7 linked regions of the Mus musculus genome follow. The protein of the gene in region 2 interacts with the protein of the main gene of each other region in a pairwise test. Links are inferred from orthologs where the notes say so. Each region holds a gene or a part of one and is shown on either strand. Other genes may lie near its edges. The genes, in order: Kifap3, Disc1, Sybu, Nup160, Ppp4r1, Mllt10 and Dpysl3.

The links.
Region 1: the proteins of Disc1 (region 2) and Kifap3 interact in a two-hybrid assay, tested with the Homo sapiens proteins (2 studies listed by BioGRID and IntAct). The link is inferred for Mus musculus from reciprocal best matches to the Homo sapiens genes DISC1 and KIFAP3.
Region 3: the proteins of Disc1 (region 2) and Sybu interact in a two-hybrid assay, tested with the Homo sapiens proteins (2 studies listed by BioGRID and IntAct). The link is inferred for Mus musculus from reciprocal best matches to the Homo sapiens genes DISC1 and SYBU.
Region 4: the proteins of Disc1 (region 2) and Nup160 interact in binary tests that used the Homo sapiens proteins (3 or more experiments, as listed by UniProt). The link is inferred for Mus musculus from reciprocal best matches to the Homo sapiens genes DISC1 and NUP160.
Region 5: the proteins of Disc1 (region 2) and Ppp4r1 interact in a two-hybrid assay, tested with the Homo sapiens proteins (2 studies listed by BioGRID and IntAct). The link is inferred for Mus musculus from reciprocal best matches to the Homo sapiens genes DISC1 and PPP4R1.
Region 6: the proteins of Disc1 (region 2) and Mllt10 interact in a two-hybrid assay, tested with the Homo sapiens proteins (2 studies listed by BioGRID and IntAct). The link is inferred for Mus musculus from reciprocal best matches to the Homo sapiens genes DISC1 and MLLT10.
Region 7: the proteins of Disc1 (region 2) and Dpysl3 interact in a two-hybrid assay, tested with the Homo sapiens proteins (2 studies listed by BioGRID and IntAct). The link is inferred for Mus musculus from reciprocal best matches to the Homo sapiens genes DISC1 and DPYSL3.

Annotation. Positions count from the first base shown.
Region 1 is NC_000067.6:163,782,210-163,786,595, forward strand, and holds part of Kifap3 (kinesin-associated protein 3), read left to right. Parts: intron 1-775; coding exon 776-907; intron 908-4,386. UniProt on the Homo sapiens protein: Involved in tethering the chromosomes to the spindle pole and in chromosome movement. Binds to the tail domain of the KIF3A/KIF3B heterodimer to form a heterotrimeric KIF3 complex and may regulate the membrane binding of this complex.
Region 2 is NC_000074.6:125,052,115-125,057,300, forward strand, and holds the start of Disc1 (disrupted in schizophrenia 1 homolog), read left to right. Parts: upstream 1-2,080; 5' UTR 2,081-2,115; coding exon 2,116-2,170; intron 2,171-5,186. UniProt on the Homo sapiens protein: Involved in the regulation of multiple aspects of embryonic and adult neurogenesis. Required for neural progenitor proliferation in the ventrical/subventrical zone during embryonic brain development and in the adult dentate gyrus of the hippocampus.
Region 3 is NC_000081.6:44,670,657-44,673,701, forward strand, and holds the end of Sybu (syntabulin), read right to left. Parts: intron 2,993-3,045; coding exon 1,891-2,992; 3' UTR 1,200-1,890; downstream 1-1,199. UniProt on the Homo sapiens protein: Part of a kinesin motor-adapter complex that is critical for the anterograde axonal transport of active zone components and contributes to activity-dependent presynaptic assembly during neuronal development.
Region 4 is NC_000068.7:90,728,738-90,733,123, reverse strand, and holds part of Nup160 (nuclear pore complex protein Nup160), read right to left. Parts: intron 3,446-4,386; coding exon 3,304-3,445; intron 864-3,303; exon of another isoform or gene 344-863; coding exon 218-343; intron 19-217; coding exon 1-18. UniProt on the Homo sapiens protein: Functions as a component of the nuclear pore complex (NPC). Involved in poly(A)+ RNA transport.
Region 5 is NC_000083.6:65,781,787-65,786,657, reverse strand, and holds the start of Ppp4r1 (serine/threonine-protein phosphatase 4 regulatory subunit 1), read right to left. Parts: upstream 3,304-4,871; 5' UTR 3,216-3,303; coding exon 3,209-3,215; intron 3,035-3,208; coding exon 2,990-3,034; intron 1-2,989. UniProt on the Homo sapiens protein: Regulatory subunit of serine/threonine-protein phosphatase 4. May play a role in regulation of cell division in renal glomeruli. The PPP4C-PPP4R1 PP4 complex may play a role in dephosphorylation and regulation of HDAC3.
Region 6 is NC_000068.7:18,161,546-18,165,931, reverse strand, and holds part of Mllt10 (protein AF-10), read right to left. Parts: intron 3,616-4,386; coding exon 3,046-3,615; exon of another isoform or gene 829-3,045; intron 1-828. UniProt on the Homo sapiens protein: Probably involved in transcriptional regulation. In vitro or as fusion protein with KMT2A/MLL1 has transactivation activity. Binds to cruciform DNA.
Region 7 is NC_000084.6:43,357,695-43,362,080, forward strand, and holds part of Dpysl3 (dihydropyrimidinase-related protein 3 CRMP4b), read right to left. Parts: intron 3,453-4,386; coding exon 3,268-3,452; intron 705-3,267; coding exon 540-704; intron 1-539.

The sequences.
Region 1 (4,386 bases), on a different chromosome or scaffold from region 2:
ATGTATATATATATGTGTGTGTGTATATATATATATATATATATATGGCATTATTAAATATGCAATTTACAAACATTTGTCCCAGCCTTTGGTTGTCTTTTTACTGTCTTGAATATGTCAGTACTGTCAACAATTTTGATTTGTTGAAGTCTAATTTATTAATACTTACTGTGGCTTTTGAAACCGTATTTAAGAAACCATTGCTAAATTCAAGGTCATGAAGCTTTTCCTTATGTTTTATAGTTTAAAGTCTTAAATGCTGGTCTCTTCTCCACTGGAGTTAATTACTGTATATGGTGGTTAAGAATATCTAATCTTCTTAGCATCGTTTGTCAGAGATTGTTCTTGCTCTGTGTGGATACTTGGAGCATCCTTGTTGAAGATTAACTGGCTGTAAACATAGGTCATATCTTGCACTGTCAGTCCTAATCCACTATTAATATGACTATTCCTTGAGCTGATAATGTACTGCTTCAATTGGGAGTGTTTACATTGAGTGGGGCGAGTCCCACAACATTGCTGCTCTTTATCAAGATTATGTTTGTTGTTTAGGGTCTTTGTTTCCATGTAAATTTTAATGTTGTCTTTTCCTTCTCTAGGCTGTCAGGGGGTTCTGTTGACTCCCTGAGTCGTCTGGGGAAAATACTACTCTCTGAATAATGAGTGATCCAGTCCTTGAACATAGGATGGCTTTCATTTTTTTTAGTTTAGATGTAGAAACAGGGTGGAAGTTATGGATGTCCTGTGAGACTTTAATCTTTTTTTTTTTTTGTAGGAAAGTTAAAGGGGGGAATATTGATGTACATCCATCAGAAAAAGCTCTCATTGTTCAGTATGAAGTGGAAGCTACCATTCTTGGAGAAATGGGAGATCCCATGTTGGGAGAACGAAAGGAATGCCAAAAAATGTAAGTGTCCTTCAGTTTGTATACATTATGAAAATAGGAGCTTTTATATAACCTTCATACAAATGATATTATTTTAATCTTCATAGACAATAAATAGTTATAACATCCTTCTGGACCACTTCAACTTAGTCGAGGAAAGATTGCATTCAATGGTATAAATGTGGAATATATTCTAGAGAAAGTAAAACTTTTGTAATGTTAAGTGAAATTAATCACAAAAGATATGTTTATATGGGAGTTTTTGCTTAATTTAGAAATTCGGAGTCTTAGAAAATCCTCTATTCCTTCTCCCATAGAATTGCTGGGAGTGGTGCGATGTTCAGATGTTCCCAAATGGGGCACAGATCTTGAATTGGCTCCTGAAAGCCTCCTGGTCCTCTGAAGAATGCTAGTATGTGACAAGCTGTCTTTTAGACTGCACTTAGGTCCACATCCTGCTCACTTTCCCTTATTGACTTAAGAGAGTCCCTCGGGACCTGTTCTTTTTCATTATTCTGAAGTTTTGCTGGTAAACTTCCTACCTTCCTTCAATAACTTTATGCTAGTAGAGAAGATTTGATATGACTTAATGTTCTCTCTCAACCCTCTTCCCGCTGCATAGCATTGACTTGGTAACTAGTTAGAAAGAATTCCTACTTATACCATGTTGTGTTGAATCGAGGGTGCTCGGGCAGCTAGGAGCACATGTGAAAGTACTGCCTTAAGTAGATAGCATTGGATCTTGGTCCGGGACCCGCCGAACTTAGGAAATTAGTCTGAACAGGTGAGAGGGTGCGCCAGAGAACCTGACAGCCTCTGGAACAGGCGGAAGCACAGAGGGGCTGAGGCAGCACCCTGTGTGGGCCGGGGACAGCCGGCCACCTTCCGGACCGGAGGACAGGTGCCCGCCCGGCTGGGGAGGCGACCTAAGCCACAGCAGCAGCGGTCGCCATCTTGGTCCGGGACCTGCCGAACTTAGGAAATTAGTCTGAACAGGTGAGAGGGTGCGCCAGAGAACCTGACAGCCTCTGGAACAGGCGGAAGCACAGAGGGGCTGAGGCAGCACCCTGTGTGGGCCGGGGACAGCCGGCCACCTTCCGGACCGGAGGACAGGTGCCCGCCCGGCTGGGGAGGCGACCTAAGCCACAGCAGCAGCGGTCGCCATCTTGGTCCGGGACCCGCCGAACTTAGGAAATTAGTCTGAACAGGTGAGAGGGTGCGCCAGAGAACCTGACAGCTTCTGGAACAGGCGGAAGCACAGAGGCGCTGAGGCAGCACCCTGTGTGGGCCGGGGACAGCCGGCCACCTTCCGGACCAGAGGACAGGTGCCCGCCCGGCTGGGGAGGCGACCTAAGCCACAGCAGCAGCGGTCGCCATCTTGGTCCCGGGACTCCAAGGAACTTAGGAATTTAGTCTGCTTAGGTGAGAGTCTGTACCACCTGGGAACTGCCAAAGCAACACAGTGTCTGAGAAAGGTCCTGTTTTGGGCCTTCTTCTTCGGCCAGGAGGAGGTCCAAATACAAGATATCTGCGCACCTTCCCTGTAAGAGAGCTTGCCAGCAGAGAGTGCTCTGAGCACTGAAACTCAGAGGAGAGAATCTGTCTCCCAGGTCTGCTGATAGACGGTAACAGAATCACCAGAAGAACAATCTCTAAACAGAGTCAACTATAACTACTAACTCCAGAGATTACCAGATGGCGAAAGGTAAACGGAGGAATCTTACTAACAGGAACCAAGACCACTCACCATCACCAGAACCCAGCACACCCACTTCGCCCAGTCCAGGGAACCCCAACACACCTGAGAACCTAGACCTAGATTTAAAAGCATATCTCATGATGATGGTAGAGGACATCAAGAAGGACTTTAATAAATCACTTAAAGAAATACAGGAGAACACTGCTAAAGAGTTACAAGTCCTTAAAGAAAAACAGGAAAACACAATCAAACAGGTAGAAGTCCTTACAGAAAAAGAGGAAAAAACATACAAACAGGTGATGGAAATGAACAAAACCATACTAGACCTAAAAAGGGAAGTAGACACAATAAAGAAAACTCAAAGCGAGGCAACACTAGAGATAGAAACCCTAGGAAAGAAATCTGGAACCATAGATTTGAGCATCAGCAACAGAATACAAGAGATGGAAGAGAGAATCTCAGGTGCAGAAGATTCCATAGAGAACATCGGCACAACAATCAAAGAAAATGGAAAATGCAAAAAGATCCTAACTCAAAATATCCAGGAAATCCAGGACACAATAAGAAGACCAAACGTACGGATAATAGGAGTGGATGAGAATGAAGATTTTCAACTCAAAGGTCCAGCAAACATCTTCAACAAAATTATTGAAGAAAACTTCCCAAATCTAAAGAATGAGATGCATATGAACATACAAGAAGCCTACAGAACTCCAAATAGACTGGACCAGAAAAGAAATTCCTCCCGACACATAATAATCAGAACATCAAATGCACTAAATAAAGATAGAATACTAAAAGCAGTAAGGGAAAAAGGTCAAGTAACATATAAAGGCAAGCCTATCAGAATTACACCAGATTTTTCACCAGAGACTATGAAAGCCAGAAGAGCCTGGACAGATGTTATACAGACACTAAGAGAACACAAACTGCAGCCCAGGCTACTATACCCAGCCAAACTCTCAATTATCATAGAGGGAGAAACCAAAGTATTCCACGACAAAACCAAATTCACGCATTATCTCTCCACGAATCCAGCCCTTCAAAGGATAATAACAGAAAAAAACCAATACAAGAACGGGAACAACGCCCTAGAAAAAACAAGAAGGTAATCCCTCAACAAACCTAAAAGAAGACAGCCACAAGAACAGAATGCCACCTTTAACAACTAAAATAACAGGAAGCAACAATTACTTTTCCTTAATATCTCTTAACATCAATGGTCTCAACTCGCCAATAAAAAGACATAGACTAACAAACTGGCTACACAAACAAGACCCAACATTTTGCTGCTTACAGGAAACTCATCTCAGAGAAAAAGATAGACACTACCTCAGAATGAAAGGCTGGAAAACAATTTTCCAAGCAAATGGTATGAAGAAACAAGCAGGAGTAGCCATCCTAATATCTGATAAGATTGACTTCCAACCCAAAGTCATCAAAAAAGACAAGGAGGGACACTTCATTCTCATCAAAGGTAAAATCCTCCAAGAGGAACTCTCAATTCTGAATATCTATGCTCCAAATACAAGAGCAGCCACATTCACTAAAGAAACTTTAGTAAAGCTCAAAGCACACATTGCGCCTCACACAATAATAGTGGGAGACTTCAACACACCACTTTCACCAATGGACAGATCATGGAAACAGAAACTAAACAGGGACACACTGAAACTAACAGAAGTGATGAAACAAATGGATCTGACAGATATCTACAGAACATTTTACCCTAAAACAAAAGGATATACCTTCTTCTCAGCACCTCATGGTACCTTCTCCAAAATTGACCACATAATAGGTC
Region 2 (5,186 bases):
ATAAGGTCATAGAGCTGCCCCTTGGCTGATGGAAGTGCTTAATGTGAGGAAGCAAGCACTAAGAAGCTGGCTGACCACCAGGGGGCAGTGCTGTGTCCTAGACTCTGTGTTGGTCTTTCCTGCCAGGCATGGTGGCTACTGTGGCTGGGTGGGCTTGGGTGAATAAAGATCTACTCTGCCGAGCTCACTGCCACATCCATCCCTACCTGCCCTGGCCACCATGCTCACGAACCCATGGGGGTAACAACAGGGCAGCTGGAGAAAGAGGCTGGCTGCTATCCTCAGAACATGCCATCCTCTCTGAGGTCACCTCCTGGTGAGCGCTCCCAGGAGATGAAACTATCTTCACTTTTATGTGTGTGCATCTGTGAGCACGCATGTGTACAGGTGCTCATGAACAAAGTGGCAACTGAGGTTTTTTTTTAATCTGATTCTGATAATTTTGTAAGTTTTAAAACATTCATTTTCATTTTGTGTATGTGTCTGTCTGTCTGTCTGTCTGTCTGTCTGCGTGATGGTGACAGGGATAGCTAGAAGAGGGTGCCTGATTAGTCCTCTGGAGCTGCAATTGCAGGTAGCAGTGAGCTACTCAGGATAGATGCTGTGAAACTGAACTCTGATCCTCTGCAAGAATGCTATGTGCTCTGAACTGTTGGGCCAGCTTTCCAGCCCCTGTTTTAAGACAGTTTATGTTATATATTCAGAGGTATGCCTAGTTATCCTCGGGAGTGAGTCAGGTAGACCTGAGAGTGTTTATGGCAGGCTGGCCAATTCAACTGTATTTACTACGGAGTGCCTCCTGAGGAGGAGAGGCGTTCCATTCGTTTTAGCTGACCACTTCAGATCGATCGCAGGCCATCACTGAGGGGAGTCAAGGCAGGAACCTAAGGCAGGCCTGCTTGCTATAGCACACAGCATTAACCTCCAATGGAGAGCTCACTTCACTGCCAATCAGGTATAGCAGGAACCACAGAGGACGCTGTTTGCCAGCTGGCTCGTAGATGGGCTTCAGCTCACTTAGCTTTCTTGGATAGTTCGAAACCTAGGTAATGGTGCCGCCCACAGTGGGCTGGGCCTTCGAAGGCCAGTTAACTGTCCAGACCTTTCTTACAGACGCGATACGGGCCAATCTGATCTAGGTAATCATGGACTAAAGCTCTCTGCTCACAGGACCCTAGGCTATGTCACACTGACAGGTAAAGCAAACTAGGATACCAACACAGTGCCTTTTTCAACCCTGTTACCCTACCCACTGCACTAAATCCTGACTCTGCTCATGTCTTTATCAACTTCAGCCGCATCCGCCCGTGCTTACCCGAAGGTTCCTGGTAAGAGGCAACTGCTCTGGCCCACCTTTCCAGCACCTGGTCTTTTTTCTAGGGCCACAGGCTCCTCCCTTCCAGCACGCACTCTCCCAGGCTTCTTCCCACTGCCCCATGCTCCACCCACAGTCAGGTCTCCGGCTGACTCCATGCAGTTCAGTTTTGTAGGTTTATTTTTGCCTCGGGGTCCAGAGGCGAGGTTATGACGGGCCTAACCCCTGACTGGCACTTCCTGTACCCACTGTCCTGTAGCAGGTGCTTTGCTGAAGCAGCCAAAGGGAAGGGATGGGGGAGGTGAGCCAGCTGCCAGGAGCTTGGCACAAGCCAAGGCTTGTGCCGTGCTCCTGGCCAGCCCCGTGCTGCCAGAGATTCGATTCTCAAGTCATTTTTAACAGCTGCTCCCACCCCCCCCGACCTGTCATCTGTCACTTTCCTTCGGCTTCACCGCGACTTGGTAGGAAGAAGTCCCTCTCTTGACCACCCCGCCTTTTACTCCCAGGGTCTGGGAAGCGCCCAGTCTTTCGGTCCCTGGCCACACTGCCCCATCACACTTCCCCTCCTTGGTTTCCTCCAAGTGAAAAGCAAAACTTTCTGCGCTGCGGTCTGGGAGCCGCGAGGGGCGGCGCGCGCGCGCTAGCGAGGGGCCGAGGCTGGAGAGGAAGCGGCGGTCCTGGGCAGGAGGAAGAAGCCAGCCCTCGGCTCGGCCCCCTGCCCGTTTCCCGCCGCCTCCGCGGCCGCCGCTACCACCATCACCACCACAGTCACCGCCGTCCGGGGCGCAGCCGGCCGCACGATGCAGGGCGGGGGTCCCCGGGGCGCTCCGATCCACAGTCCGAGCCACGGCGCAGGTAGGGCCCGGGGTTCTGGAGGAGGGCGAACGAGGCCTGCCGAGATCCGGGCGCACCCTGATGCAGGGGAGGGAAATCGAGGCAGTGAGCGGGGAGTGCAGGGTGCGGGCGGTCGTGTCCCCAGCTCCCACTGCAGCTCCCGTCCAAGCGCGTCCCCGTCCCGAGAGTCCGGCCGCCCTGAGGCGCAGTCGGCGAAGGGCGCGCCCGCACTCCTTCCTTGCGAGGTCCCGGTGGCCGCGAAGGTTTCCGCAGCGCCCAAGTGCAGCTCGATCCCAGGACTCCCTCGGGTGGCCGGCGCAGACGCTGCGGGGACGCGGGGCGAGGTTGAGAGAGGTGTGGGAACTGCAGCCCGCACCTCCCGTGGGGCTGCTCGCCGCCCACTTCCGAGTGTGGACTGTGACGCGCAGGGCAGCGCAGGCTGAGGGGACCCGCTCCATTTCCTCTGTCAGCTTGGGCCACGTACCAACCCCGGTGATGACATCGAGTTAAGTGGGTGGCCGCTTTTCAACCTCAGCAACTCACTGTCAGAAACCCCAAGAAAAGAACGTGATGGCACACGCCTCTTTTCCTAGCACTCGAGAGACAGGAAGACTGTGGAGACTTTCTAATACAATCTGGGCTACAATAGTGAGACTCTATCTCAAAAACCAAAATCAAATCAGAACAATGAAAAATAAAACAAGCACGGAGATCTGCTCCAGACTGGGCTTTGCAGTTTGGGCGTGTGCTGTGCCAAGGAGAGAAGGCAAAGGACTTAGGAGCTTCTTTTGGCTCTTGGAGCCTCAGTTTACCCATCTGTGAAAGGAGCACTAATCACTAGCTTCCCTACCTCCTTAACTGGCTTCTATGAAGACATTTTTGCAATTGGGAGTTGGAAAATACAGGGTTGGTAGGTGGGTGTAGGGTAAGAGTCTTCTGCACCCGCATCCTGGACTCGGGAATGCCTTAGTTTTTCAATTTGTAAAATGGAGCTGATTTTCCTGCCTACGTGGTAGATTTTAAAAGGGGTTTAATGTGGTAGGAGGACATGAAACCCCTGGCCAAATCTCTGCGATACAAAGCAAATTCTCAAAAATCTCTTAGTTGCCCAGGCTAGCCTTAAATCTGCTGCCTAGCCCAGGCTGGCCTCCAATTTGCTAGCCTTTGCCTCCCAAGTGCTGGGATTACAGGTGTGCTCCACTACGCACGGGTCCTTAAGTATTATTTTGACCATGCAAGACCTAAATAATCGTGGGCAATACAGGAATGCCAGTGTGACATGTTAGTGTCTGAGTTACAGGGTATTTGAAAAGACATTTGGCACCTGACATGGAGACCGTTGAGGTTTAGCCAGGATTCTGCCCACAGCAAATAGAGCCCTGGATGAGAAACCTGCTTTCTGAGCTGTCTCTCCAAGTCTCGGGCTTTCTCTTCTGTTTATAAGAAAGAGAAAGCACCTGGGCTGTAATTATTACCTTAGCCCTGAGAGTGCTGCCCTGGGATGGAGAGCAGAACATCTGGAACTGGGGCAGGTGACAGCCTACAGGCGACAGGTGCCACTTTGCAGAGAGTGCATGGGCCAGGCACTTGGTCCTGCCCTTTGATGAGGTCCCCCTCACACCGGTGAGGGGCTGGTGCTACCATCCTCATCTTCCCTTGGATGTGGCAAGGGTTGGAGTCACCTGCCTGTGGCCCTGGTGGTTAAACAGGGACTGGGGCTCAAAGTCAGATGCAGGTGTCTCCAATTACAGGCTGAAGGGAAGGTGTCAGGTGGAGCCCAGGCTGAGCGTGGACCTTTGCCTGGTCAAAGGTAATACCTGGTCTTCTGTTTCTGCCGTTTATACCTATCTTCATCTATCTATCTATCTATCTATCTATCTATCTATCTATCTATCTATCTATCTATCTATCTATCATCTATCTATCTATCTATCTATCTATCTTCTATCTATCAATCATCTATCTGTATATCTTCTGTCTCTATCATCTATCTTCAGCATCTATCAATCATCTATTACCTATCTATCATTTATCCATCAATCTGTCTGTCTATCTTCTATCAATTATCTACCTACCTATCTATCAATCATCTATCTATCTATCTATCTATGTATCTGTCTATGTATCTATCTATCTATCTATCATCTATCTATCTATCTATCATCTATCTATCATCTATCTATCATCTATCTATCTATCTATCTATCTATCATCTATCTATCTATCATCTACCTACCTATCTATCAATCATCTATCTGTATATCTTCTGTCTCTATCACCTATCTTCAGCATCTATCTATCAATCATTTATTACCTATCTATCATTTATCTATCAATCTGTCTATCTATCTTCTATCAATTATCTACCTACCTATCTATCAATCTATCAATCATCTATCTATCTATTTATCTATCTATCATCTATCCATCAACCTATCTGTCTGTCTATCTATCATCTATCAATTATCTACCTACCTACCTATCTATCAATCATCTATCTATCTATCTATCTATCATCTATCTATCTATCTATCTATCTTCTATCTATCAATCATCTATCTGTATATCTTCTGTCTCTATCATCTATCTTCAGCATCTATCAATCATCTATTACCTATCTATCATTTATCCATCAATCTGTCTGTCTATCTTCTATCAATTATCTACCTACCTATCTATCAATCATCTATCTATCTATCTATCTATGTATCTATCTATGTATCTATCTATCTATCATCTATCTATCTATCTATCTATCATCTATCTATCATCTATCTATCTATTTATCATCTATCTATCTATCATCTACCTACCTATCTATCTATCTATCTATCAATCATCTATCTGTATATCTTCTGTCTCTATCACCTATCTTCAGCATCTATCTATCAATCATTTATTACCTATCTATCATTTATCTATCAATCTGTCTATCTATCTTCTATCAATTATCTACCTACCTATCTATCAATCTATCAATCATCTATCTATCTATTTATCTATCTATCATCTATCCATCAACCTGTCTGTCTATCTA
Region 3 (3,045 bases), on a different chromosome or scaffold from region 2:
AGGTATTCTCCTTAGCTTTAGCTATTAGTCTCTCTTGGGTCAAAGTACATACCTCAGCCTAAAATTATTTTAGAAAGCACTGGACTCTTCGAAGACAAAGCATGGAAGCACCCTCCTTGCCTATTAGTGACCAACCCAGTAAAGTAGCTAACTGGCTTGTGAGATTATCAGCTAGTTGCTGTTGGATGAATTCTACACTGATTTTCAGATCTATGTGGCAGGTTCTTTTAAGTTCTTGACATCCATGCATAAGACAGAACACCTATCCTTGCCCTGCTCACAGAGCTAGCATGTCAACAGGAACCATGGGCAATAAGATATTAAAGGCACAGATAAACAATGTCAGCACATATTTAAACCCTAATGAGGAAGCGGTTTGAGAGGAGAAGCTACTTCCCAGATCACCTCCATTTCTACAGTAAGGTAGAAGAGGCATTTTCATCGCTCATACATTAACTCTTGGCTCTGAAAATGAACTTAGAGAGCTTGAGCGGTTTTGCTGTCTGTGGCTTTTTAGCTCCCTGTTTATAAAGTAGAACACCTACTTCTCAAGGCTACTAAGAATCAATAATTACTGCAGATCCCCTCCTCCATCCGCCCCAATCCTTTCATTGAGAGAGGAGGAGGAGGATGGAGAATAGATGCTACTCTTGGAATTTCCCTCTCCTGGGAGTCTAGCAAGCTTAATAAGCCGCCCACCTTTCCTGGAATGAGTGCAAACGTGCTGATTGTGTGTGCAAGCAGCTGCATGCCTTATTTAAATAAACAGGGCTACCCTTATTTTCTATATAATACTCTTCAAGGTCAGGCATAGTTACCTTTTTCAAGAATTTTTATTTTTAAGTGTGTGTGAGACAGAGGGAGAGAGGAAGGGAAGGGAGGGGGAGGAAAGGAAAGAGAGGGGAAGAAAGGGGAGGGGAGGGAAGGCAGAGGGTCTTTGTGAGTATCTGCCACAGTATTTGGTCAGAAGGTGTTGTGAGCCACATGGGTGCTGGTGGTAGAATTCAGGCTCTCCACCAGAGTAGTTAACTTCTGCTCTTAATCACGGAGCATTGCTCCAGGCCTTCATTTTGGTTTTAGTAATTATTTTTTCTTTCTTGTTTTCTGGTTAGCTTCATTTTTATAGAATCTTTTTGATAAAGAATGATCTATTTATTTGACTTATATAGTAGTAAATTCATAATTATAGGAGACAAACATTTAAATGGAACCACTAACCTTTATTTTCATGCTTTAAGTATGTGGGTACAAACAATTTCCAAAAAACACTATATATAATAAGCAAAAAATAAGTTAGTACATTGTAAATTTACATAGTATCACTAACTGACAGGTTTAAGAGCAAATGAGTCTTATAAGACTTTGGAGCTACATTAAGTTAAAAAACAAAAATCTAAACACTCAAACTTTATCAACCTCAAGACGATAAAGAGCTATTCAAGTCTTTGAACCAATTACACAAGTACATTTTTATTTTTGGTTACAGTCCCCTGCTATGCACAAGAGCATTGGAATGCTGGAACAATTACACATTTTCAAACGGCACAAAGCAAAGCAAGGAGATAACATGCCAGCCTTAGAAAGGCTGTGGTGAAAGTGCAAACGGCATTTTCTCTTCCTGAACCATTAGTATAAGAACGGGCACCTCAGACAACACGGCAGGGGCATAAGCATGCTTTCTACACCACTCTGGTGGGACAGCTACCAGAACCAGGTTTCCATGCCTTGGAAAATACCTCTGGTTTAAACAGTGAACAGGCTTCAACTGACTATAGTGCAAATCAAATAGCGAGAAGCAAAACTGACAGAATAGAGACTTCCACTGATCACCTGCTGTTGCTCTACCTGGCATCAGGCCACACAGATACATTGGCACACAGTAACAACTAATTAGGTTTTCATGTGGAAAGCGGTGCGGCGTAGTGAGTGTAGGGCCACCACACAGCAACCTCGGAGCAAAGCTCCGATGTTGTAGACAGGATCTGTACCCCCTCTCTGAGTACTGAATGCCCACAGAACAGTGGGTACCACAGGGGCAGCCACAGCCAGTAGATCCACCAAGAAATTGCTGCTCCAGTACTGCCTCACAACACTGCCCTGGGACAGTGAGAGGACACTGTCCAATCTTTCTTCTGTGTAGGCTGCAAAATCTAGCTCTCTCATGAGGCGATTTGCATGGGCTTCCATAGCCCCCTTGCTGAATGGGATCTCCACAGGAGACAGAAGGATGGCCGAGTTAGGACTTCTTGGAGTTAAATCAAGCATTAAGGCAGAGATAGATTCTGAGAAGCTTTCCATCGAGTCAGCTCCAGATTCATCTGGAGATGCTGAGCTTGTGGGACAGTAGTCCTGCAGCTTTAGCACACTCTGAATGAGCTCTGAGATGGCAGGGCTGAACGGCACCACGTCGGTCTGCACGGCTTGCTCCATCACCGCAATGCCCTCTTCGTGGCTCACCAAGGGGAGAGCCTTGAGGGCTTGTGGCCCTGGAGTGGAATGAACAAACTCCAGGCCACTGGATTCTGTGGTGGTGGCAGTCACCATCTCATCTAACAGATCTGTGCCTTCAGCCATGCTGTCTCCCACCAGAAGCTCACTGTCAGCACCTTCCTCTGTTATCTGTTCTTCCAGAGATAACCCATCTGGCAACTTGTCAAATGTGCTGCTCAGGGGTAAACTTTTCTCTGGGGAATCAAAGGAAAAGTCAAGACACAGTTCATCCCTCAGGGAACTATTGTGTGCCATCTCCATGCTTTGAAGCAGAGACTCCAGTTTCTTGTTTTGGATGTTTATGTCCACAAAGTACTTCTGAATGCCTTTATCTTTATCAGCCAAGCTGCTCCTCATAGTCTCGATGACCTGTTTGAGCTGTTTAATCTCTTTTCTGGCTTCTTTGAGTGCCAACTGAGCCTCCACTCTGTGGCACTCTTCCTCAATCCAGTCCTCCCTCATTCGAGCCAGCTGAGACTTGAGCTCCATGATTTCAGATTCCCTATAGAGAAGGTAGGCACAGTTACAAGCAACGTCAACTTTGAAATAGCTAAG
Region 4 (4,386 bases), on a different chromosome or scaffold from region 2:
TGTTGCTGACAGTGGAAACTGAAAGAAAATGTCTATTGATTAAAATGACACCATTTCTTCTAGGTTGTTGTCTTTGCAGGACTCTATACATGAAACACTTTAAACTCCACCCCCTTGCCACCATTCTGAAATTAGGTGGGGCTGGTGAGATAGCAAAGGCATTTGCCACCTGGTAACTGAATTCAATTCCTGGGCCACATGATTCATACGCATTTACCTCAATTCCAAAGTACTGATGTCCTTTTCCTAATACAGCATCTACATATTCAGAGACCAAATCCACAGCTTCTTCTAAAAGGTCATAGTTCAGGTAAAGACGAAGCAACTCGGCAGCATCAACCTTCTGTAAAGACAACAATTATAAGCATGTCTACCCCAACTGGAAACAGAACCTAACAGTGCTGCATTCTAGAATGTTTTAGAAATTATCCAAGAAACTAAGTCCACAAACAACCTAAATGTATTACCAAAACATATGCTGATTGTTTCTATACAGCAACAAATTAATCAGGTTTTCCTATTAACTTTTCCAATACAATTGTATTTCAACTTATACAGTACACATCTAGGCAGGCAGGGCTACACAGTCCTGCCTCAGACCAATCAACCAATTTTAAAAAGGTTCTTAGTGTGAGCGAGCACCTCAGGGTAAGATCTGTAAATTCCCATGAGCCCAGTTACCTCCAGGCACACTGTAATATTGTCTGTTAAGTGGCTTTTCTTTTCTATTTTGTGATCTGAGACATGTTTTAACTTGTTCCTACTTCAATTGTACATTAGTAATGTCAACATGTTTTCTCAGGAACGCTGAGCACTGAAGTGGAGGATGTATGCATTAACTCTCAGAAATAATGAAATGCAAGGTACCACCAGCTTTAAATCTGTATGCAGCTCAAGGAGTGTAATGGTTTGAATATGCTTGGCTCAGGGAGTGGCACTATTCGGAGGTGTGGCTCTGTTGAAGTAGTTGTGTCACTTGTGGGTATGAGCTTTAAGACCCTCATCCAAGCTGCTTGGAAGTCAGTCTTCTCCTGTTTGCCAAGATGTAGAACTTTCAGCTCCTCCTACACCATTGCAGGCCTGGATGCTGCCATGCTTCCACCATGATGATAATGGCTGAACCTCTGAACCTGTAAGCCAGCCCCAACTAAATGTTGTCCTTATCAGAGTTGCCTTGGTCATGGTCTCTGTTCATAGCAGTAAAACAGCAGTAAGACAAGGAGAATGCTGTAACTTTTTTTTTTTTTTTTTTGAGAAGGTTTTTCTGTGTCGCCCTGGCGGTCCTGGAACTCTGTGTAGACCAGGCTGGCCTCAAACTCAAGCGATTCATCTGCCTCTGCCTCCCGAGAGCTGGGATTAAAGGCGCAGGCCAGCATGCCTGGGTCCACTGTACTTCATTACAGTGAAGCTGCCTCCTCTGCTCTGATGTAATCAGTTTTACTTCTCCCACTTTAGCTACTTTTCTCTATTTTCTTCTCCTCTTTTATGGCAGAGTTTCATGTAGCACAGGCTGACACTACATGTGGACCACATCCTTGAGCTCAGTGCTTCCCACATGCCAGGCACTCTACCAACCGAACTTTTCCGTTTTTGTTTGTTTGTTTGATACAGGGTTTTGCTATATATAGACCAGGCTGGCCTTCAACTCACAGTAATCCTCTCCTCAGCCTTCCAAATTCTGTAATTACAAATGCCTAACCAATTTTACTACTAATAATTTTTATATTCTCTTTCCTTATCCCACTGAAAGTGCTTCAGATATCATTTTCAATCAAGCGTACATCTAACCCAATCAGAAGCACTTGCCACAGCAGCATATATACTAAAACTGGAATGATAAAGAACATATAAATTCATGAAGCTGTGCTGCTATATCATAGCTTATTGCAGTGTGGTGGGAGTGTACAGAGCATAATATAGTCTTATCATCAGACAGGAAGCCAGAGGGCAATTCAGCCTCCATTGTCATTCATACCTGCTCATGAAGCATTAAAACAATTTGGCTTAGTGTTGCACACTTTTAATCCCCATACCTGGAGATGGAGGCTGGAGGATTTCTGAGTTGAAACCCAGCCTGGTTTACATAGTAAATTCAAGTCCAGCCTAGTTCACAGTGAGTTTTAGGTTAGTCAGGGCTACAGTGACACCCTGTCTCAACAAACAGAACAACTCCCCCCTAAACAAACAAAACAACAAAAACAGAAGGTTGTCAAAATGTGGAATTCTGGTTCCTGGCCCCAGATAATCTGACTTAAGACCGAGGAATTGACATTTTAAAGAAGCTACTGAGCCGGGCGTGGTGGCGCATGCCTTTAATCCCAGTACTTGGGAGGCAGAGGCAGGCGGATTTCTGAGTTCGAGGCCAGCCTGGTCTACAGAGTGAGTTTCAGGACAGCCAGAGCTATATAGAGAAACCCTGTCTCGAAACAAACAAACAAACAAACAAACAAACAAACAAACAAACAACAAAAGAAAGAAGCTACCATTCAATATAGCCCACATGTGAATCATATGTTGGAAGTTTGACCCTCCAATGTAGTAGCAATGGGAGAGGAAGGAACCTTTGAGAAGTGGGACCCAGTGGGGGGATGTTTAGGTCAAGGAGGGTCTGTCCACTGTGAAGAGATTAATTCTCAGGAGAGTGAGCAGGTATGAATGACAGTGGAGGGTGAATTGCCCTCTGGCTTCCTGGACCATATTCTGCTGTGTACAGTCTCACCACACTGCAACACACTATGATAGAGCAGCACAGACAGCTCTTACTGGAGGTCAGAATAATGAGCCAAGTGTTCTTGAACATTTCGCTTATAAAACTGTGAGCAAAGTAACCCTCTTTCTCTAAAAAGCTAACCTGCCCAGGTACCTCTTCATGGGGACAGACAACAGACTAATAGATAAGCCTCCCAGTCAAAGATAAACTCTTGTATTATCTGGGAAACATTTTACCTACTATTGTTAAGTTTTTAAACAATGATAGTAGATATTGTTGCATGAAATATACTCATTATTCTAATTATGAGCTCACTATACAATGATAAGTCCCCAGTACTATATGTGGAATTTAAGATAAATTGTTTCATCCTATTAGAGATGATTGAGAATCAAAGCATTTAAGCCAGTGAATTCTCCTTTGTCTTCCACTTCTTTTGATAGTATCTCATTTAGCCTAGGCTGGCCCTGAACTCACTTAGGCTGGCTTTGAAGTTCTTTTGATCCTTTTGTCTCTGCCTCCCAACTACTGCCACAAATGACTTGTAAACCAGTACACTTCCCAAATTATTACCCCACCTCAATACCACGTACCTTGTAACTGTTTATAAGCCAATTAGGCAGAGGAACTCCATGAGACAACAACTTGTTAATCACACAATGATGATACAAGTTATTCTGGACTTTGTATCTTTCCAAGTAAGTTGACAATAGCCTCCATGCTTCATCTGTAGCACTTGGAAAAAGTAAAAAGGACAAAGGAGTTCAGATTCCTATTCTACTAGTTAATTAGGAACTAATTAGTTAATGAATTGGGTAGACAAGGCTGCTCTTAAGACTCTCCAGAGTAGGCAGAGGCAGGCGGATTTCTGAGTTCGAGGCTAGCCTGGTCTACAAAGTGAGTTCCAGGACAGCCATCGCTGTACAGAAAGACCCTGTCTCAAAAAACCAAAAAAAAAAAAAAAAAAAACCAAAAAAAAAAAAAGTTATTTTGCCGGGCAGTGATGGTGCACACCTTTAATCCCAGCACTCGGGAGGCAGGGGCAGGCGGATTTCTGAGTTTGAGGCTAGCCTGGTCTGGTCTACATAGTGAGTTCCAGGACAGCCAGCGCTATACAGAGAAACCCTGTCTCGAAAAAACAAAAAAAAAAAAAAGACTCTCCAGAGTGCTGTGATCATAGGTGTTAGCAAACATATCAAAGCTTATTTTTTATCTATCCCCTATCTATCTATGCATCTTGTGTGTGTAGGCTCATTTGGCATAGTATCCATCTAGAAATTACATAACACTTTCGGGAGTTGACTCTCTTTCCCACCATGTACCAGGGAATCAAATTAGAGTCCTTCATAAAAGGTGCGCATGCTCTTAGCTGCTGAGTCATCTTTCCAGCTAACAACTGAATTGATAATATAACTAAATGGTAACTAGAAACTAGATGAGCTACTAAAAACATTTTAAAAATAAATCCAATAAGATTTACTTTTCTCCTATTTATTTAATTCCTCAGTTTTAGGAGTTGAAAGAAAAGAGGAATTGGCTTATATCACTGGTCTTGGTCCCCAAAACTGACCAAGCAATACATTCATGTAGAAATCAATTAAACGTTTTCCTTTGTATATGAATACTTGTCTGCATGTATGTATATGCACCATGTGTGTTCCTGGTACCCATGAAGG
Region 5 (4,871 bases), on a different chromosome or scaffold from region 2:
CAGTTCGTGTTAGGGCATGAATGATGACATAAAGTAGGGGTTTTTACACCTGTCTCAATGACAAGACAGAGGCATAACAGTGATAAGTGAACTATCCTAGTGGATCCAAAGTGCCCATTACCAAGACTGCAACAGGCAGCTGACACCTTTCCTGACAGCACTCTTGAGAGCTGCCTATAAACCACTAGAGGGCTCAAGAGGTGACCCGTTCTCCTTCGGACCCAGCCTACCCCAGCTTACTGTGAAATACTTCCTTCCAGACTGTGTTCCCCAACAGCCAAGCAGAGACTGCACTACACCTTCTTCCGGGGTGCACGGTCCCTGACTCAAAGGAACAAATATTCAGATGTTTCTTCTACAGCCACGCCACACCCACTCCAGTGAAGTCTGCGTTTCAAGTCCAAAAGCTTGGCCGCATTCCTGAGGCAAAAAGGTTCATGGAAACTGGTCTCCTGGAAGAGTCTCTGGTGTCCCATAACCAGATTTGTCCCTGTGATAGTGTGGAGCGTCTTGCATGCTTTCTTGCAGTATTTTACTGGATAACAGCTAAAAAAATCTCAGGGCTAGTTCAAAATAGTTAACTTAAAATCCTCATTACAGCCAGGTGTAGCAGAGTACATAACATATTAGAAGATAGTTGGTGAACTCCTCTGACAAATGGAGATTCCCTACAGACACAAGAGCAGCCAAGTCACTCCCATATGCATAGGTATTTACAATGGCCTAGGGAGGAGGAGGGTTGTGGTTTAAGGAGGAACTACAGTATTGCATTATTCATGAAAAGGCCAGCAAGAGCAGAACCCCCTGGCACAAGCTCTCACAAGGCTCAGAGGAATAGCATAAACTGTGACTAGGGTGTGAAATCCTCACCTGGCTCCTTAAGGGCTGACTTTAGAAAGGCCTGCCTTTTAACTCAGTTGTAAACACTGCCTGGTTCCTGTCAATCTTTATGTATGCATTTCTCTGTTTTGTGTCAGATAACTTCAATGTACCTTGGCTCATGTGTCACCTAACTTCTTTTTTTTCTTCTGTAATATAAGTCTGATGCTCGCTTTGAGAAATTACATTCAGATACAGCACTCTCTCTGTGTCAGTGTCTGTCATTTTTCTCCAACTCCTTGCCCACCTGAGTACCAAGATCCTGATTCCCCCCAGACAGACTGAGACCAGTCCGAGGCACAGCCAGACACAAAGACGTACACTTTATAAGAACAAGAGGCTCCGGCCTCAAAATTACCATCTGGGCAACATCTCCAATCCTAACCTTGGGAGAGATCTAAAATCAATAGGTGCTTTGATTATACATACTAAGCCAATTGAAGTGAGCTAAGGGAGAAAAAGCTATATGCAGAAGCTGTGCTTTACCGTGCTACTGCTCCCTAAAGACAACGACTTAAGGAGAGCACCCGTGTCCGTCCCCGAGCAGATTTAGCAACAGGTAGGTCTGCTAGGACTGCTTGCTTTAAAAATACTCTTTAGAGAAGCCTTCTGTGCTGGTTTGTGTTATATCAAGTTAACAAGGGTCGAGTCACCTGAGGAGGAAACCTCTTTATCTTGCCCTAGGCAATCCGGGGGGGGGGGCATTTTCTTAGGGACCCTTGTTGGGAGGACCTAGCCTGTTGTTGGTAGTGCCATCTCTGGATCCTGGGTGCTTTTGAGAGAGCAGGCTGAGTGAGCCAGGAGGAACAAACAACTAAGCAGCGCCCTCCATGGCCTCTGCATCAGCTTCCAGTTCCAGATTCCGGCCCTCATGATGAAGATGATGAACTGCAATAAGGAAGAATACGAGCCACAAACCTCTTCTCAAGTTGCCTTTGGCCATGTTGTTACATCATATCAACAGAAGTGCTGACTAAGGCACTTTCTCAAGGCAACACCTCCCATTGCTCAGAACAGGAATTTAAGTGGAGTAAAGAAAATCCTATCAGACAATGCTACTGACTATCTGCATAGCATTTGTAAGAGCAATTTTCGCGAAGGCATCTCTGGATTACCGGAACAGGTATGAAATCACACTCCCCAGTCCAGGCAGGCTCTCTCCCCTCACCAGACAGCTCTTGTATCACAGCAACCAGCTCAACTCTGCATATTTCTTGGTTTCAGATCTCCCATGAACTACACTTAATAACATTTTGTGCACACTTTATTCCTAAAATGCATTTTCCACCAGTCACTCTATCTGCAAACATTAACACGAGTAGAAAGCATTTCTACTTAAGTGTAATTCACAACTTCTTCCCATATAAAGTTAGCTAAGTCATAGTCTTTTCTGTCTCCAACCACCATTATTTTCTGAAGCTTAGAAAAACACAAAACACACTCAAAATGAAAGATATCTTTCTAAATAACTCATTTCCTTCACCACATGGAAACAATGTCCACAAGCTGACTGGGTTTTGTTTTTTGTTTTTTAATGTACAAAAAGAGTCAACTCTTTAAAAACTTTAATATCTCAACGGAAACCTGCAATTTTAGCATTTAAGTACCAGAATGAGCTTTGAACACTCCCAATTTTAAAAAGCTGCTCTCTGAACCTAGTCACTGCATCCTGCCAAGGTCACACCTACTAACCTCCCCGAAAATCGGAAATCAAATGTGTGAGTGAGTGGTGGTGGTGGGGACCCGAAACGGCTCAGAGGTCAAGTACAACACAGGTATGTAACCAGCACACACTAGGGCGAGGGAACCCCCGAGGGCGGGCCGAGCACCGCACGCCGCACAGCCCCCCGAGCCTTGCGGAAACACCTCCCGGCACCCGCCGCCTCCTTCATCGGGGCGAGGGTGCGGAAGACACTCAGGAAAAACACACCCATGTCCCCTCTCCGGCCTCCGCCCCACGGGCTTCTGCTTCCCCAACAGCCGCCCCGCGGCCCGAGCCTGCGGGCGGCGGCCGAGGTCCGACCACGCGGGTGCTCCCCAGCGCGGCGGGGTCCCGAGTCCGCCCGCTCGCCCGCCGCCCTCCGGGGCTGCCAGGCCACCCGCCACTCACGTCCGTCCGCGTCCTCCGGCAGGTCCTCCTGGAGCAGGGAGAGGTCTGCGCCGGGGGAGAGAAGAAAGGCCGGGTCAGCGTCCCGGGCCGGCGCCGCGCCCCAGCCGCCCGCCGCCCGCCCGGCGGCGCCTCCCCGCGCCGGCCTCTCCCGGGCACTGCCGAGCGCGGGGAGCCGCCGCCGTCGCCGCCGCCGCCGCCCGGGGAACTGGGGCCACGTACCCGCCATCTTGTGCTCGCCCCCGCCTCCTCGTCTCCCGGGATCCCGCTCCGCGAGCCGCTCAAGTAGAGAGCCGGTGGGCGCGCGCGGGCCGGCGGGGGCGCGCGCGGGGCGGGCCGAGGCCCGGGCCTGCGGCGGCGGCTCCCGTACGCCCGCCCGCCCGCGCGCCGCCCGCCGCCCGCTGCCCGCCGCCCGCCTCCCGCGCCCGGCCGGCCCGGCCCCGAGGCGCGCTCCCACCCGTGGCTAGAGGCGCCCTGGCGCCGAGCGTGCGGAGCGCGGCACGAGCTGCCCGCCGGGGGACCTGCGGCGTGTGCCCGAGCCGGGCGGGCGGGGTCCCCGCGGCCCGCAGCTCTGTTGGGTCACCGGCCTCGCCCACCGCTGGCCGCCGCCCGCTCCGCCGCGCGCCGCTCGTCGCCCGCGCCCCTCCCAGACCTGCTCGTGCGTCGCCGGCGGTCCGCGGCCGAGCCTCCCGCCTCCGAGTGGAGGAAGCGCCGCCTCCGCCCGCGCGCCCAGGCCTCGCGAGTGACTGAACAAAGCCCAGGCCCCGGGCCGGACGACGGTTTGAATGACAAAAGTTCCGCCGGCCCAGCCGGCCTGCCTTCCCGTGCGGCGCGGCACGTTAAAGCCCCGGCACCGGCTTCCGAGCCCGCGCGCTCCCCTGGCGCCCGCCCGAGCTGACCCTGAGCGGCCCGGGCGCGCGGGCCAGGCCGAGTCCAGTCACTCCGCGGTTCTTAGCCTTGTGACCGCAGGGAGGATCGCCGAGGATACCTGCCCCCTCCGCCTCTCCGGGGAATGGCAGACTGTCAGGAATCCAGCACCGTGCTTGCTACCTCGGGAGTCCGGTCGCCGGGTGCCTGGGATTGGCAGCGCTTTTCTCGAGTGAACTATCACACATCTTACTGGTCCCTTTGTTTGAAGAGAGTTAAACGGTTCTTGTAGGTTCCCCAGGCAAAGTAGGGCAAAATCCAGATTTTTCTGACTCCAGTTCGCCGTCCCATTTCTGTGAGTCTTAGGTCTAAATCCAACATCAGTGAGGTCTCCAGAATGGTCGCCCGTAAAATGAGTCTCATACATGATGCCCGTTTTTGAGTCTGATATGAAAAAAGGAGGATTTTAAAGGTTCAGCTTGTTCCTTTCTGCACCATAGTCCTAATTCAAGGCAACATATTGGCATTTTAAAACACGGGGAATCAGAACAAGTTGTAGGTGGTCTTTGGCTACTTTGTGTGTTCTTTCTTCCACCCCTCTTCTTTCACCCTTTCAACTCCCTAATACTAAAAAAGGGTAGGGGTGGAAGGGGCCATCATTATATATTGGACTACTTCCTGCTGATGAGGGTTGATGAGCTTCTTGGAGCAAGCTTGATCTTCGTAGTCAGGTATATCTAATTTCTTCTTCCTGTTTCTTTACTCACAACTACTTAACAAACAGCAACCAATCTCTCCCGCCCTAGTATTTACATACCCTCTGGAAAGTCTCCGGAATCCCAAATGGCAGAAACTATTTGTAGCTGGCAAATTCACACCCCTGCTAGAGCATGAGGCAACTCACTGTCAGCTTCTGTGGACAATATGAAGCAGCCCCATATCTCACACCTGGGATTAGAACAAAAACAAATTCCCATAAAAATTTTCTGTGTTTTTCAACAAAACCAAATTCTCACTA
Region 6 (4,386 bases), on a different chromosome or scaffold from region 2:
AAGGAAACATAAATAAAAACATTTATTCAAATGTGCAATATATTTAAATCTTTTTAATGAACTTTGTTCCCTCTGTAATTTATTCTTCCCACCTCCTGAAACAGTTCTAACCAGAGGCAATTTGGGCCTCCTGGGGACATTTAACAATGTCTGGAGACATATTTATTATGGGGAGAGTGCTACTAGAAACTAATGAGAAGGGGCTAGGGATTGTGGTAAACATCCTATAAAAGACAAGTACTGAACACAAAGAATACCCAACACAACATGTCCAAATCACCAAGACTAAGTAAGGACGTTAGTGCAGCAATGTAATATAACTGCTCTGTAGATCCCACTAAAGTGGGGGCTGTGTGCAAACTATGACAGGCATCGATGTCATTTATTAGAAACAAACAAAAAAACTCCAGGTTGTATGACCTTGGGCTACGCTCAAACCTCAGTTTTATCACCTGTGGAAGGGGAAATCAATAGTCCTTTATAAAACTACTATAAAAGGAGATAAAAATAACAATGTACTTAATGAAACCTAACATAGCAGATATATATAGACACACACACATATATATTTATACACACACACATATGCTTCTTTCTTGAAATGATCAGTTATTTCTGCTTACTGAAGCTAATAAATCATTCAAAGTTTTGATTTATTTTGTATTTGCAAAATATACAATATGAAATTATAATGAACATTTTTCACATCTTTATTTACACATCATTTCTTCCTTCTCTCAGGATAAATAAAATTGATATTATCCATAATAATGTATCTTAGCTGAATCTTATTTCAACCTTCAGAAATCCAAAGGGACACAAAAGGGATGAAGTTTACAGTCAAGATTTATTAAAAGCTGTTTATCTCATATTCAAGAAAAATAAAACCAGACAAATGAAACTTGAAACTGTTAAGGGTTGGTGGTAGAGAGATGGTGTGGTAGTAAAGTGCATTTGTTGCTTTTCAAGAGGACCTGGGTTCAATGCCACCCGCCACCAACCCCCCAACACACACACAACTTTATCAAATGGAGATGTTAACCTCTTCTCAAGGAGATCCACTGCCGTCTCTGACACCCATTAGTACCCACACACATTTATGTAGCATCACACAGATACACATAAATGAAAATAAAAAATAAATTTTAAAAAAATGAAAAGAAAAACTTGTGGTGTGCTGTAGTGGTGCACATCTTTAATCACAGCACTCACAGGGCAGAGGCAATCAAATATCCTCGTTCTGAAGCTGGCATGGTCTACATAGCAAGTTCTAAGCTGACCAGAGCTACTTAGTGAGAACCTGCAGAAGCCAAAGCAGCTCACAATCATCTCTAACTCCAGTTCCAGGCCAGCCTATGCACACTTTTGGACTCTGAGGGCATTGGGCACTAACATGGTACACAGGCACGCAAGCAATCATACACATTAACATAAATATTTAAGAAGAATAAAATACATACTTCCTGGGGCTGGAGAGATGGCTCAGTGGTTAAGAGCTCTTCCGATGGTCCCGAGTTCAAACCTCAGCAACCACATGGTGGCTCACAACCATAAGTACTGAGATCTGACACCCTCTTCTGGTGTGTCTGAAGATAGCTACAGTGTACTTACATATAACAATAAATAAATCTTTGAGCTGGAGCGAGCAGAGGTCCTGAGTTTAATTCCCAGCAACCACATGATAGCTCACAACCATCTGTACAGCTACAGTGTACTCATACATAAAATACATACTTCCTAGTTTTTTTAAGAATTAAAAAGATTTGTAACACAAATTACAGATTACACAGAAACATACCAGTGACATAGATTCTACATACTCATTCATACTGTCATAAAAATGATGATAAAGTGAGTATGGTGAAGTACACCTCTAATCTCAGCACCAAGATACACAGACAACTGATTCACGGCCAATTTCAGACCTCAAGGTACTGGAGAGAGTCAGTTCTAGGCAAAATTGGTACAAGATTTCAAAATTAAAAATAAAAGCAAGCCTTGGGACCACTTTCAAATCTATGAAGCCAACTCTCATTTCAGATTAAAAAAATAATAATAATGGTTAAAAGAAAACAAATTTTAAATCATTTCAGATATAACTTGACACAAAATCCTAAATTTATCACTTATGGAAAAAAAGGCTCCAAAAATTCATTTTACTTATGTACAATTACCAAGAAAATAAAAAGTGAAAAATTAAGTTTAGCAAAATAACTTTAAATACAAAGATACCAAAAAAACGAATACAGACATGTTCACATTTAAAATATGAATCCTGGTTTTTTTGTTTGTTTTTTTGGTTTTTTTCGAGACAGGGTTTCTCTGTGTAGCCCTGGCTGTCCTGGAACTCACTCTGTAGACCAGGCTTGGCCTCGAACTCAGAAATCCACCTGCCTCTGCCTCCCAAGTGCTGGGATTAAAGGCGTGTGCCATCACGCCCAGATCCTGGTTTGGTGTTATACCTAATATGCAGGGGGAACAAAAACACAACTGAGAGATAAGTAATGGATGACTAATAAAGCTGTTTATATAAAGTTAACTAAGTAAAATGAGATTGATGCTAAAAATTACACCACCAAATAGTTTTCTAGGATTGTAGGGTACTTTCTTTCTCACTAGGAAATGGAAAATCTAGGGTCTATGAGAACGCTAAGAGGGTGAAGGCTGTTGCCACCTGATAATCCAAGGCCTACATAGTATATACATGTGCTACAGTATATGCGATCTCCTCCCTAAAAATGGCCAGCATGGTAACAGACAACTGCAATCCCAGCACTTGGGAGGCTGATCCAGAAGGATCAAGACTCTGAGGCCAGCCTTGGTTACAGAATGATCCTGGCCAGCTTGGGCTACTTAATAAGCCCTTGCCTTTAAAAACAAATAATAATAAAATAAACTTAAAAAAATAAAAATGAACAAATGTCAATCTTAATTAAATGTAGCGGCACTTCAGAGCTCACTCAGAACAACTGTTCACAACTCTTTGGAGTCGTGAAAGAAAGGGCTGCGGAGTGATTGAGGGGCAAACATGGCACAGACCCTTACCTGAGCCAACTGGAGACGAGCCAACACTAAGACTCTGCAAACTTCCATTCCTGAGCAGCGTAGGAGATTTCTGAAGACTAGAGCTTGTTACACTTCCTGCAGCTGATGCTACGGACGATGTTGGTGAAGCAGAAGAAACTGAGAGGTGAGAAACATTTTCTTGATTTTTGTTTCCTTTGGGTCGGCCGGGGCCATGTTTGCTTTGCTTATTTCCTTTTCGTTTCTTTTCCTTTACAGCTTCTTCTTCTATACCAGAAGTCTGAGCCCGCTTATATCCTGCTGTAGGGAGGCTCGAACTACCCAACTCTCCAGGTGAATTGTCAAAGCTTTTAGGCTGTGAAATAACAGTCGAGGTCACAGGGTGACCAACTAAAGAGCTAAAACTGTTTACTGCCGCTTCCTGGCTTCCAGACTCTCCTTTATGTACATCTTTGGTTGATGATGGCTGCTGGGTGTGAGTGTAACTGTCACTTCGCAGATCTGAGTCTGTAAAGCTTAAGAAGTCCTGGGGAGACTGCACTGAACTTCCAGAAGATGACTTTACACTGCCTGGAGTTCCTGAAAAACTGCCTGTAGCAAAATATACACAAGCAAAAAAAACAAAACAAAACAAAAAAACAAAAACAAAGGTGGAGGAAGAAGATAAATTGGATAAAATGTTCCTCTAAGCAATAGACAAATTACAATGATCAAAAAGGACAAATTTCTTAAAGTGAATTACAAAACTTAGGTCATTACCATCTAACAAATATGAGATCAGTTACTACTGAAATCAACTTCACCTCTAAAATTATCTTTTAAATAATTTGTCAAAGGTAGTATCATACATAGCTCTTACATTGTAGCCTACTCCTGAGTTAACACTTACCAGAGTTTCTCTACTCCCTCCAAACCATTAGAAGCATTATACAGGAAAGACTGAACAAACAGAGCCTGACAAAACCACAGTGTGCCCCCTCCCTCTCCAGGGGACTGTCTTTTTCCAGCATGCAGATACAACTGTAAATGTTCCAAATTATAGTAAAACTGCAAGACATTTCTCAGGTTATAAGTTATAACAACAGGCCTTATCCATGATTATTCAGCCAAATCTATCCACTCATCAAAAAAATATGACTTCATGTCCTAAGTTACACCTTATATTCTCCTTGTCCAATTTCCATGAAGCTTCATAATGGGAAAACCAGCCATGAATATCATCTTATTGATTTTAAAAATGAAGGATCATGTGGACAGATGGCTCAATGGTTAAAGAGCACTTGTTCCTCTTGTAGAGGACCCAAGTTCAGTCCCCAGCATCCACATCTGGCTCAGAACATCTGTAACTCTAGTTCCAGGGAT
Region 7 (4,386 bases), on a different chromosome or scaffold from region 2:
GGGATGGTAGTCCTAGGAGCTATAAGAGGCAGCCTGAGCAAGCCAGTAAGAGGTGCTTCTTCAAGCTCCGTACTTCAATTATGACCTCTAGGTTCCTGTTCTGCTTGAGTTCATGATTCCCTTCAGTGATGGGCTAGCAGCTGTAAGGTGAAATAAACCCTTTCCTCCTTAAGTTGCTTTTTTTGTCACAGTGTTTAATCCTAGCAATAAAACCCTAAGCTATCCATGGAGGTGAAAAGCCTCATCCTTGTGTAGATCTGTTGCCTACGAAATGTCACCTCAAGCAGTTATCCCGATACCCCGCTTTTTCAGCTTCAAAGTGACGAACAATATTTATCCCACGAAGATCCTACAAAAAGTAAAGTTACATAGAGAAAAAGGAAAGTGCCTGGAACAAAGTAAAAGTCCCTCACACAGCCCTCATGCTTAAGGGACGAGACTCGGAACTCGAGGAGTGACTCCCACGAGCGGGCGGGATGTTGTGGGAGACGCAGACAAGGCAGCAGAGAGACGAGGCTGGAGCGCGTGCTTTGACTCACCTTTTTCCTTGCTGAGGCTCTGTACCTCCTGCTTGACGCTGTCATTCCAGTGGGTGATGTCCACATGCAAAGCATAGTCACAGCAGCTCTTCCCATCGGCCCACTCACGCCACTTTTCATAGGCCTCTGTCAGGCTAGACTCAGGTTCAGGTACCACGTGGTCAACTGAAGGACAGAGGGCAAAATGGGTGACTCGGAAACAGTTTGGTCTCCCTGTCTCTATTCCTGCTCCTTCCAGCTTGGTTAACTCGGGGACTTGGAACAAATTAGTAGCTTTCTGAAACCTCAGTTTTCTTTTCTTAAAAATGGGTGTAGAGTAGATGGGGAACACGTTATGATTGTATTTTTCCGTCTGAGTTTTCCATATGACTAAGTGCAAAATGCATATATAAGGTGCTTCACTGATACCTGGCGCATATTAAGTGTTAACTCCTCATGACTACCTGCTATTTTTATGTTGTGACTACTGGCTCTGAGTCACTATTAATGGCCAAAGTTGTGTTCTCTTCCCTGGATAGAAGAAGAAGTTCTAGATGTATAGCAGGCATGAGTAACCAAAGCCCATGAACTTGCTAACAAGAATAAGTTTCTCTGAATTCAAACCCACTTTTCTCTGCAACCATGGATGATACATATTTTTAAAATAATTGTGGGTATGTCTGCATCTGTTTGAATCAGCTGCTGGGTGGAGCCTCTCAGAGGACAGTCATGTTAGTCTCCTGTCTTAAGCATACCACAGTATCATTAATAGTCTTGGAGATTGGTGCTTGCCCATGGGATGGGTCTTAAGTTGGGCTGATTGTTGGTTGGCCTTTCCCTCAGTCTCTGCTCGATCCTCAGTCCCTGCATTTCTTGTAGACAGGATAAATTTTGGGTTTAGAGTTTGGTGAGTGGGTTGGTGTCTCTATCACTCCATTGGAAGGACTGTGGGAGGGGGTGACCAGGAAGAGGGGCAGTGAGCAGGGTGTAAAGTGAATAAGTAAAAAAGAAAAAAAGTTAAAACAGTAATGGAGGCATGGTAGTGATCCCAACACCTGGGTGGCTCACTAAAAGCTCAAAACCAGCCTAGCCTGTGTAGCAAGATCCTAATATCTCAAAACAAACAAAACACACCATGCCTAAATTAAGAGAAATGATATTAAGTAAAATTATATTTGTATTTTAAAAAAATAATCATTGTGGTTGTTATAGTAGGGATTTAGCAAAAGCTCTACCCTCACCTGGGCCACAACGGGTAGCTGAGTTAAAGTGTGAAATTGGTTCAGCTTTTGGGAGGACGACATCGAAATATATATCAAAACTCTGGACATTTTCCAGACCAGACTCAATTTACTCTCATGCCTAAGCCTCATGCCTAGGAAGATAAGTTGTAGCTGTCAGCAGCATTTAGTATCTAGACTGTACGCTGATGCATTTACGAAAATGAAAAATCGAAAGTGGCCGAGGTTGAAAAAAATTGAGAAGTTTAGTTTAAAACATAGAGACACTTTTCACAGAGTGACGAGAGACACCCATTTTAAAAGCTGAGGTAGAATGTGAGCAAATGACTGCCTGGAGCAACATTCGTGATCCACCACTTAGTGGAAAAAAAAAAATCACAGCTTTAAATATGGCACAGATACTAGGATCCTGCTGTGAACTTGGAAACTGCCATAGTAAGAAACTCCAGCAGTGAATAGGGTTACGTGGATCCTTTGCCTTGCACACATCTAGAGTTTCTAAGTTATCAATAAAGGGCAAGAATGCATCTGTGGCTCCTTGTAAGCTTTATTCTTCGCCTAAACCTCCCATCTGCTCTCTGCTCCTTTGCTCATGGAGAAAGACCAAGTAGACAAGACTTTACAAGCATGCAGAACAGGCCCAGTTCCTGGCCCAGATGGCAGCCAGCCAAACCAAAGCAAGAACCACGCATTTCCTCTGTCAACAGAGCCCGAGTGCACTGATGGGAAAGCATAATGCATCCAGCTACATCAATACTGTCTTCAAGGACACCAGGGCTTTCCTGGGCAGAAAGCTGCTGAGAAGTCAGCTGGCTTCCTTTTATCAGTTGCGGGGAAAGGCTCAGGCCTCCCTGGACTGCACCTTTTATGGCCTTGCTAAAGTTGAACCCTGCTAGTGGTTCAGTCAAAAGGAAGGTCAAGACAGACTGTAATTCTGGCTCAGGCTGCTCTGTGCCTGTGGGTAGAAGAATAAGCTGTTAAGTAAATAGTGCTGTGTCTGAGTTTGAGGCTAACTCTGGGCCAGTACCCAATTCATTGAGATTCCTTGGAACAGGAAGGACTGCCTGAAATACTATCAGTTCTGTACTCCAATAACATGCAATTTCCCAAGTTTCTCTGGAATTAGTAATTACCAGAAGCAAAAGAAAAGAAAAATAAAAGAAACCGCTCACAGCTTTCCTAATCTTAAAGATACAAATTGGTCAGAATATAGCAAAGACCCAATAGCACTAAATCCACCGAGACCCACTAATCTCCCAAGAACTGTCAGTCTCAATGATCATTCTTTCAGACATATCTTTCTCTGGTTGTTTTCAGTAACATTAAGTTCATGGACGTCCTTTGTGTAACTACAGGAAGTTGGCAGTTTTCCTGCTTTTCCCACACCCAGGGTCACATAGCTTCCATGAACCAAACTGAGAGAAGTGTGTATAATTTCCGTATTTTCAGAGGGCAGTGTTTGACACCTTTCTCAAACCCACAGGGCTGGGCAGTACGAGAGAACGTACTGATCATGGTGGTGCCTCCCGCTAAGGCAGCCTTTGTCCCTTGGAAGAAATCGTCCACTGTGGTCATTCCCTTGTAAGGCATCTGGAAGTGGGTATGGACGTCAATGCCTCCAGGGATCACCATCTTCCCGTTGGCCTCGATGGTCTTCACACCTCCGGGGACAATCAGATTGTCTCCAATTTGCCTGACGAGACAGTGGAACAACGGACAATTAAATGGAGCGATCCTCAAGACGAGCGTAGGATGTCTAAGCAAAGACAGATAGCTGTGTATCCAAAACTACTGCCCCAGCATCATCTGCATGGCACTGTGTTATGGTTTGGTACTGAAATCTAAAGATTGCCAATGTCTAGAGTCAGTGCGTGACTCATATTTTTATATAACTATTTCCATTATTTCATTCACTTTGTTTTTTCTCTCTATTGGTGTGGGATCACACTGGGGAAAATGACAAGGAACGAGAAATAAATGACTGTTAGGTGCAACAGAAGATAATAACTTGGTACAACAACAGGCATGGGGACTTAGTCATCTGTGCCCTAATCAAAGGCGTCTGCTTGAATCACCACCTGCTCAAGTTTCTTTTTCTTACTCCACCATTCCCTGATCAGCTAATAATGCCTTGTTGCAGATGCACAAGGACAGCATCAAACATGCAGCTCTCTCCCACACCCTCTGCTTTTGTATGGTCAGTATTTCAATAGAGGCTCCAGACAAAGAAAAGTAATTATGGTAACCCCGAAGGCTTCAGAACATCCCAGGAAAGAGTGGGGGAATAAACTCATTGAATACATAAATGAGAGTTTCAAAGGTTCATCTCACAAGAATGTGATAACTATTCCCCACAAGGCTGTTTGCAGGCCACTGGTTGCAACATTGCCTAACTTTTTATTTTATTTTATTTTTTAGCTTTGATTTAGACATCTGGCCAGGTCTGCCCTCATAGTATACCTAGGATTCACAGTTTATACTAATACTAAATATCTCCTACCTTGGGCACATATGTGCCCCACTATTTTCCCTTCTGTAGATAGCCCCCCAAATTCTCTTGGGGTAGTAAAAAGTCCACCCCACTGCTGACCAGCAAACTGTAGGTTCACAGCTAATGTGTTCCTGAC